Linked DNA regions of Sus scrofa. The protein of the gene in region 1 interacts with the protein of each later gene in a pairwise test. Links are inferred from orthologs where the notes say so. Each region holds a gene or a part of one and is shown on either strand. Other genes may lie near its edges.

The links.
Region 2: the proteins of SDCBP2 (region 1) and FAM133A interact in binary tests that used the Homo sapiens proteins (3 or more experiments, as listed by UniProt). The two-hybrid records come from large-scale screens. The link is inferred for Sus scrofa from reciprocal best matches to the Homo sapiens genes SDCBP2 and FAM133A.
Region 3: the proteins of SDCBP2 (region 1) and SREK1IP1 interact in binary tests that used the Homo sapiens proteins (3 or more experiments, as listed by UniProt). The two-hybrid records come from large-scale screens. The link is inferred for Sus scrofa from reciprocal best matches to the Homo sapiens genes SDCBP2 and SREK1IP1.

Annotation. Positions count from the first base shown.
Region 1 is NC_010459.5:33,965,572-33,969,331, forward strand, and holds the start of SDCBP2 (syntenin-2), read left to right. Parts: upstream 1-1,503; 5' UTR 1,504-2,643; intron 2,644-3,760.
Region 2 is NC_010461.5:76,148,732-76,152,210, forward strand, and holds the start of FAM133A (protein FAM133A), read left to right. Parts: upstream 1-1,117; intron 1,118-1,201; exon of another isoform or gene 1,202-1,225; intron 1,226-1,231; exon of another isoform or gene 1,232-1,322; intron 1,323-1,342; exon of another isoform or gene 1,343-1,473; intron 1,474-1,507; exon of another isoform or gene 1,508-1,700; intron 1,701-2,107; 5' UTR 2,108-2,177; intron 2,178-3,479. Other genes in the region: NAP1L3 (nucleosome assembly protein 1-like 3), read right to left, coding at 1-762.
Region 3 is NC_010458.4:43,318,648-43,320,535, reverse strand, and holds part of SREK1IP1 (protein SREK1IP1), read left to right. Parts: exon of another isoform or gene 1-1,303; intron 1,304-1,455; coding exon 1,456-1,599; intron 1,600-1,888. UniProt on the Homo sapiens protein: Possible splicing regulator involved in the control of cellular survival.

The DNA.
Region 1 (3,760 bases):
GACTGTTCACACATGAGTATAACAATGCAGAATCATATCCTGGTCAGAGCACAGATTCCAGTTTTTATTGTGAAAACAGCCACTGTAGATCTACTAACAAGGCCCTACCCTCAAGGAACTTAGGGTCTAACTGGGAGCCTAAGGACATGGGAACAATACAAGATGATTCCTATCAAAGAGCCACAGGACGGTCTTATCTGGCCACGTGGGTAGGGTGGGGGATCAGGAGGCTTCCTGGAAGAGGCGCTCAGTGGATCTGGCTAGGCCGAGTGGGGGCAGGGGGAGGGCATCCCAGAAGCAGCAGCACAGGCAAAGGTATGGTGTGAGGTGGGAGTGGAGCGGATGTGGCTTGGCTGGGGTAGACGTGTTGGGGGAACAAAATCGAAATGGTCATAAGGGGGCTGGACCATGGAGTGCTCACTGTCAGGCCCCCGAACTTAGTCCTGACCCTGACCCTCCCTCCCTGACCCTTCAGCAGGATGTCACTGAAGACTCTGAGCAAGGGCGTGCCAAGAAAAAGGACTTCTGGGTGGCTGGCTGGGGAGAAGTCAGAGGTGGAGGCAGCTGTAGCACCAGGGAATGGAATGAGCCCCTGCATTTCGGTGGGGGTGAGAGGACGTGGGTTCTAGTCCCAAGTCTATGCGGACGTGCTGGGTGACCACAAGCAAGTTCCTCACCCTTCTGGTTCCTCCATCTTCTCCAAAAGCCCCTTGAGACCTCGACTGGGTGAACTGAGGTGTGTGGAGGGTGGGGTGTCACTTGGTTCAGTCTCTATTTTCTACTTTGCCCTTGAGAACCCCACCTAAGGAGGGTCCACACCCATGGTTCCCCGGCGCTTCGGGCCCAGATGGCTCAGCCTCGGGTGTGTCCTTGCCTCAGCTTTAGGTGCCTTTTTCTCACAGACGGAAAACAGGACCTTGGAGCCATGTGCAGCTGTGTGACTTCAGAGAAGGGACCTTGCCTCTTGCCTACTTGCGGGATGGCGGGAGCCACCAAGCCTGTGACTGTACAGCACCGCGCTCTGCAGGCAGGGAGGGCTCCTTGGCTGGTAACTGCCTTTCCTGCTCTTGTTCCCCCTCCGACTCCCTCCCATGTGTGGCTCTCGGCTGGAAGCCTCTGAGTCCGGCAGGGCCTCCTCTCTGGGGCTGAACATGCGCCCAAGGCCGGTGCGTCTCTGCCCAGGCTCGTCACGGGGACTGTGACATGGGCCACCCGGCCTGCTGAGCAGCCCCAACACTCACCCCGCCCTGGGCGGCTGCCCTGCGTCATTCCTCAGGGGACTGCCCAGCACCAGGGCCAGTCCCTCCCCAGGCACCTCTGTACAACCCAACCCACAGGGACTGCAACTACATTCCTCCCCCTTTTCTGTTTGATTGATTTTGGGGGATAGTTAAATACATTAAATTTTTTCAAAATTTAAAAGGCACCCCAAAGTATGTTATGAAAAAAAGCCCCTCCCACCACAGCATTCAGCCCCTTACTTCTTCCCGGAGACAACCCATCTAAATTCCTCCTAAAAACAATTAATCTTTTTTTTTTCTTTTTTCTTTTTGTCTTTTTGCCTTTTTCTCGGGCCGCACCTGAGGCATAGGGAGGTTCCCAGGCTAGGGATCGAATCAGAGCTGTAGCTGCCCGCCTACACCACAGCCACAGCAACTCGGGATCCAAGCTGCGTTTGCGACCCACACCACAGCTCATGGCAACGCTGGATCCTTAACCCACTGAGCAAGGCCAGGGATCGAACCTGAAACCTCATGGTTCCTAGTCGGATTTGTTAACCACTGAGCCACGACGGGAACTCCTAAAAACAATTAACCTTAATTTGGCGGCCCCTCCTTACAAAAATCATGAACGTTCAAAGTAAAGATTAACAAAACCAAACCCCACCACCCTGAAACAGACACAAAAGTACAAACTAACAACCCCCACCCCACCCCACCATCTGGATTTCCAGCCTTTTCAGTTTTGTCCTCCCAGACAGTTTGCAGTATCTATTCACTTTTGGAAAAATGAAAACAAAAGACAAGCTGATTATCACAATATTGACTTTTCCATATCTTGCCGGAACACTTCCTCCTGGTTCCTTCCTTATCAACAACGCTGATAGCTTTATGACCTTCCACAGAGGCTGCCTTATTTAACCAGACCCTGGCAATGGACATTTGGGGATTTCTAGATTTCCCTGTTATAAGAAACACAGTGATGGGCCCCCGAGACCTCACTGGCTACTTGTTTTATTTTCTTGTGACAAATTCCTAGAAAAGGAAATGGTAGGTCACAAGGTACGGCCACTTTTCAAGACCCATCAATCTGTCCTGATGTTCAGCAGGACTACGTGTCTGAGCCAAGTTCGGTTACCTCGAGCCAGGAAGTCTTGGTTCACACCCCTCTCAAGAGGAGCTGTGTGAGCTTCCATCCCCACCTCCACATCCAGACTAAGGCCACAGCCCTCCTCTGGACCTGGTGACCTAAGGCAGGTTGCCCCAGCCACCACGCCGCACCTGGGCCCATCCCAGTCCTGGATGAGTCAGCTGACCGGGGAGCAGGAACCCAGCTGGAACAAGGGCCACCGCCTTCCAGGGAGAGGAACAGACTCCGTTGGCAGTGGTTGGAGGAGGACAAGCAGCAGCACCTGGGCTGCAGGTAAGAGCCGGGTGCGGGGCCCCTAGAGCTCCGGAAGGGATCGGCGTGACCTGCTCTCTCCTGGCTTCTTCCCTCCTGGTCCCAACCCTTTGGGGACTTTCAGGCCTTTTCCTCTCAGGGTGCTTCTCTCTGGCAGTGAAACATGAACTGGGGTTTCCTCTTCTGACCCCAGCCCCGGGCCAGGTGTGACGGTTGGGTGATCTTCACCCAGACATGGCTAGGACTCTCCAGGCTCCTTCAGTCTGCCCGGGACTGCGCTCGCGGCTGGGACCCACACTTTGCTCCTTGAAATGGGCCCTTGGCAGGGCAAAGAGCACTTTCCACAAGGAGCCGAGTGCAGGCCTCAGTTTCTGTTACTTCTCTGCCTGAAGCTGTTTCCATCCACAAGCTCCCTGCCACGGCCAGGAAAACCTGCTGGGGAACTGGGCCGGCGGCCTGACCCGAGAGCTGGTTTCCTCTGTGGAGACTCCCACGCAGTCGGGGGAACTGAATGAGGTAATGGATATAAGGGCCCCGTACGTGCCCTCCACACAGTGAGCCTCAGAAAATGGTGCTTAAGATGGGGCTGCTGTGTGCCGGGCAGGCCCTGCGCTGGCCCAGACTCCCACCAGCTCTCCCCGCATCACTTCTCAGCTGGGCTCCCTGCCCACTGGGCCCCTCTAATCCATCCTCCAAATGAAAGTTAGACGTCACTCTGCTGCTCAACATTCTCCAGTGCCTCCCATTTCGCTGGAGTAAATGCCAAGCCCTCAGCATGACCCACAGGCCCTGCTGGATCTAGCCCCTCTCACCACCCCTGCAGTCGCCTGTCCTATGCTTCCCCTCTCAACAACCGACTTTGGTCTCCCTGCTCAGATATTTCCTGAACACAACAGGCACTCCCACCTCAGGGCCACTGCCGTGGCTGTGCCCTCAGCCTCAACGCTTCTCCCTCCCCATTGAAACTTTCACTCAAAAGGCATCTTCCACCCCCATCTCCCCCACCCAGCAGGGAGGCTCTTCGGGACCTCCGGGCTCTGTCTACCTCCCCCACCCGCCCCCGCCCTGCTTCATCTTTCTCCCCATCACGTCCTACCACCTAACACTGCACAGGCACTTACTTATTCAGCTAGGACGT
Region 2 (3,479 bases), on another chromosome or scaffold:
TTTTACAGCAACCCTGGCCTTAGTCGCCTCTGTTGCTTTAGGCTGCTCTCTGTCTTCTGCCTTTGCTTGGGGGGCTTCTTTTGGATCTTCCTTTACTTCAGGCTTGGCCTCCAGAGCATCTTTAGACTCTGCTCTTTCTTCAGCCTTTGCCTCGGGATTTTCTTTAGGGGCTGCATTTTCTTCAGCCTTGACCTCAGGTTTTGGTTTTGGGTCCTCTTCTTCCTCACCCTCTAAGGCAGGCATTTCACTAGGGCCCTCTTCCTGCACTTCCTCATCACTGCTAAACACCTCATCCTCCGAATTCCATTCACATTCTTCCTCCGTGGGCTCATATTCTGCATTGATGATTTGGAATCGCCGATCATACAGAGGCCTATTGAGTTCGGCATATTTTCTTTCGAGCTCGTGAATTGCCTTTAAGAACAGGGCGTCTACCTTGTCACATTCATCTTGAATATTTCTGAGCGCCTGCACACGATTTCTAACTGCCCGAGGCAGCTGATCCACGAAACTTCTACCCGACGGAGCCCGCCGCGCCCTTCTGGAAGGCCCAGGTACCCTCTTCTTTCTATAGAAACGGCTGCGGCTATTGCTGCTGCTGCTGCTACTGCTGCTGCTGCAACTAGTGCTGCTGCTAGAGCTGCTGCTGCTGCTGCTGCTGTCAGATTCTTCCCCAGAATCGCTAGACGAGCTAGCCACCATCTCTTCATCCACCCCCTGGGCCGCAGCTCCCGAGACCCTGTTAGGATCCGCTTCTGCCATTCTGCAAGCCTGCAAACCGCTTAGCGTGGTGACTACCGCGCGCACAGAGATGGGCCGAAAATGACTCACGGATGCTTGGGTGGCAGCGGTGGAGGTCGGGGCAGCGGCGAAGGCAGCAGGAGTGCAGGGCGGGGTGGGGCTGGGCTGAAGCCGCGGAGGCGGCAGCGACACTGGAGGCCTGAGCAAGAGCGGCAGAGGTAAGGGCTCTCCCGGCTGCAGCTGCTGCGGACCGAGGCGTGCCTCAGCCGAATGGCGCAGTGCGAGACCCCGAGATCTCTTCACTACTAAGATATTGAACCCCCCCCTCCCCTAGCCGTCAGACCTCCCGTTAATTTCGTTCCCAGTGTGCCCTTTAGCTCTCACCTCATTTGCTAGGCATGCTTGATCGACAAACCCTCAGGCCAATGAGTAGCCAAAAGCACCGCCCCCTCCAGACTCCGCCCACCTTCCCAGACGCTCCTAGGTAGCTAAGGCTCATACCCCAGGAAGACGTTTTTCCCCCTCAAAATTTTATCCTTATAGTTTTATAATTCAAAAAAAAAAAAAAGCTTAGCTATGAGGTAAAAATACTAGTCATGGTTTCTAACAAGGGAAGAGGAGTATCCTTCTCCCATCTGCCCTTCATTAATTCCCGTTTGGTTTGTCAGGGGCCTCGTGACAAAAATCTGTTTTTTAAAAATTGGATGAAAATACTCCAAATGACATCTTTGGGTAGTGTGCTTGTGGATGATTTTTTAATTCTCTTTCTTCTATCTAGATGTTCTATGAGCATGTATTTTTACACTGGGGGGAAAAGAGGGAGTCGTTTATTGGCAAAGCGGGGAGGGGCTAGAAAGCAGGCATATTGCCTTCCACGTAACAGTTTTAATAAGTGCTGTCTGTGGTGTTTGGCAAGCCTGGTTTATATCCATCTACAAGGTTTGCGAACCCATGTTGCCGTGAGTCAGTTACACCATTTTTTACTATATTTCTCCTTTTAATTTGGCGTGTAATAAACCCCAACCTTGCTGCTGATTTGCCACGTAGTCCTTCTCAATGCTTGTAACAACCTTGTAGATAAAATAAGAGGGCATTCAAATGTTAGGTAGTATTTTTTAAAAGCAGACGCTTTGTTCTATACTTTCATGCAGCACTTTTCCATTCCAGGAATAGCAGGATGGGAGGGGGAGTCTGTGCTGATGAAACTGCATCCTCTGTCAGGGTATACTTTACAATGTCATCTGCCACCAGTTTCCTTCTAAAATTGTAAAATGCTAGCCATACTAAAGTATGATTTACAAATCCAGTAATATGTGAATAAACTTGCAAAATGAAGTTTAAAAACAGCTGTTATTTTTATTTGCAGGATTCTTTTCTGCCACAGAACAACTCCCTTGGTACAACCAAAAAGACCCGTGTTTACTTTTCATTAAAAGGTAAGGAACATATTTAGCCCATTTTTATGAATGACAAGAATTACCTATATATATTTGAATAAAAATTCACGACAGAGTCTTTTAAAGACTTAATTGGAAGATAGTTCTATGTAAGCAGAAAAATCCACAGAGGTGATTTAGAATATTAATGAGGAAAATAACCTAATTAATGACATTCACTTTCTAAACCTGCTCATAGAAAGCAAGTAGCAAATTAAAACATAACATCTGATGAATTATTCATTTCAAATGAGGAAAAATATTAAAGTAAGATTAATCTTTATGTTGCTTCTTTATTATAGGATTTGTGCTTAGTCATTTAGTCATGTATTTATAAATTAAGAAACACTTTTATTTTCTATTTTGTAAATGAATTTAGTTTTATTGTTTATTCCTGATTGTCAAAGTATGTAAGCATTGTAAGGGAAAATACAATATAGAAAATTAAAATAATAATAGAAATACACAATTTTAATCAAATGATAACTATTGTTAGCATTTTGATGCATTTCCTTCTGGAATTTTCTTTGTACATGTACATGCCTGCCTATTTATATATACTGTTTCATCTTGTGAACTTATGTTTTGTAACCTGTGCATTTATCAGTTAATTGTGGCTATACTTTCATAGAAACCGATCAATATTTTATTTTAAAATAGATGCATATTTCATGGAAATATTTGCCTTAATTTACTTAACCAGATTCCTCTTGTAGGGCAGTTACTCCCTGCACCATCTTTCCACTAACGTACATTTTCCTGTTGTTAAAAAAGTTAACCCTGGATACCTGCTATATGAACTTGTAAAAACTAGTCATCTGATGAATTCCTAGAAATGGAAGTGCTAGAATGAGTTGTATTCTCATTTTACTCTTTGACACATATTGCCAAGCTTCTCTCCAGAAAAAATGATCACAATTTAAAATCCCAACAATAATGCATGAGTTTATTTAGCCATTCAACTAATATATTTTTGTGCCTGCCACGTGCCAGGCACGTGTGGTAGAGGATAATGATATAATGCTGAATAAAACTTAATGGGTGCATATCCTCTCATTCTATAATTTTCATTAAAATATATACTATGGAAGGTATGATTTAAATCAATGAAATTATGCTATAAATATTGTTCTACAAATTATTATTTTTTTAAATGATGGACATATTTTGTTAATGCTTTATATTTTTATAGTACTTTAATGATTTCATATATATGTTAAATTTTATACTATCAAGAATCAGCATTTTGGGGAGTTCCCTGGTGGCCTAGCAGTTAAGGATTCAGCCTTGTCACCACTGCTG
Region 3 (1,888 bases), on another chromosome or scaffold:
TACCAGAAAGGACAGGAGATGTCCACCAATGCCATTGCTTCCAGTTTTGCCTGGACCAGAGGGCTAGCCCACAGAGCTAATTCTGATAACAATAAAGAGCTCAGCATCTTTGCAAAGGCTTTGAAAGAAGTCTGTATTGAGACTGTTGAGGCTGGCTTCATGACCAAGGACTTGGCTGCTTGTGTTAAAGGTTTACCCAACGTGCAACATTCTGACTACTTGGATACATTTGAGTTCATGGACAAACTCAGAGAAAACTTGAAAATAAAACTAGCACAGGCCAAACTCTGAGGTCATTCCTCGGCTTAGGAGGATAAGTGTGTTTTTTTGGTAACTAGGCCACTTGGTTTACATTTTTCTTTAAAACACTCAAGGGTAAAGGCAAAATGAATTTTGTAATTTGTTAGAAGCCAGAGTTTATCTTTCCTATAAGTTTACAGCCTTTTTCTTACCCATACGCATATGCCACCTTTGTGAATGTGACAGGGGACTTTTTCAAATTTTATTTTCTACCGGTAGCCTAGGAATTGCTTTTAGTGTCCATGTGTACTCAGCTCACTGTCACTTTTTCCTCATCTCCTGATATAAATGACCAAAATGAAGAGCGCTTGAGAAGGGTAAGCTGTAGCCATGGTATTACTGTATAAAATTGTGTAAAGTAGAAATTCATTCCCTTCCCCACTTTCCATGGCCTGTGGCACTGGGTGGTTTTGACATCACAGATGTTTCATTACGTGAGGTAGAGCTGTCCGTTAAACTTGCATAAGATTTGGAATGCAGGGCCTGGCTGTAACTAAAACATGTGAAGACACAGTCCTTTTTGTAAAGAGCTCTAGCTTAACGTTTCAAAAATACCAAATATTTTTGAGCAAACTGGAGAATCCAGAATAAATACTACCCTGGGGTTTGTCCCCTGTTTAGCTCCTCTTCCCAGCGTCCTGTGGACAAAGTATTATGCTAGCCTGAACAGCGTATTTCATCCAAGTGCAATAATACAAGCTGCACCTTTTTCCCACTTCTGCTGGCCTCTTTTATTTCCTTTATATATATATATGTGATTTTTCAGAAGTTGATTGTAAACACTATTCTAGTCCTGTTCTTTATCTAGATGATCAATTTTAATTAAAATTAAGCACTAAAATAAATAAATAAAAATTTAAAAATAATAAAATAAAATCCTGAATTGAGAGTATTTTCTTTAGTGTATTGAAAGGGAAAATACCATAATTCAATATACTGAAATCCATAAGAAGTAGCTCTCCTCCAAAAAAATGCTTATTGAATTAACCTATTATAAAGAAAAGAAAAAAAGAAAAAAGCCACTTACTGAATAAAAGTTAAAACTAAACATTTATTATTAAAATTGTAACTTGTTGCTTACTATGATGTGACACAACAGAAAATATGTACCAGTAATTTTGTCATTCACCTTTTTTGTTTGTTTGTTTTATATAGCTGGTCACCTGACTTTTGAATGCCGCAATTTTCTCCGAGTAGACCCAAAAAGGGACATAGTTTTGGATGTTAGCAGCACAAGCAGTGAAGAGAGTGATGAAGAGAATGAAGAACTGAATAAATTGCAGGCATTACAAGAAAAAAGTAAGCAATACTTTTCCCCCTCTATCCTTTAAAAATGTTTCTAAATGGTTTTCTGTATCATATCATGCCTGTCGTTCTACTGGATTTTCATTAAGATAACTTTTGCATCTTAAATAAGAAGTACTGCATAGGTATGAGAATAGGCTTTGAACATTGTAAATAATTTGCCCAAAGTCAAACAGTTGGTCAGTGGTGAAACCAATAGGTAAGTCTCTTTCTGATTCCATAACCCAGGTTCTATTTTGATTTGTTTTTCCATCTCAGTAGAGTGTGTCACATAGTACAAAGA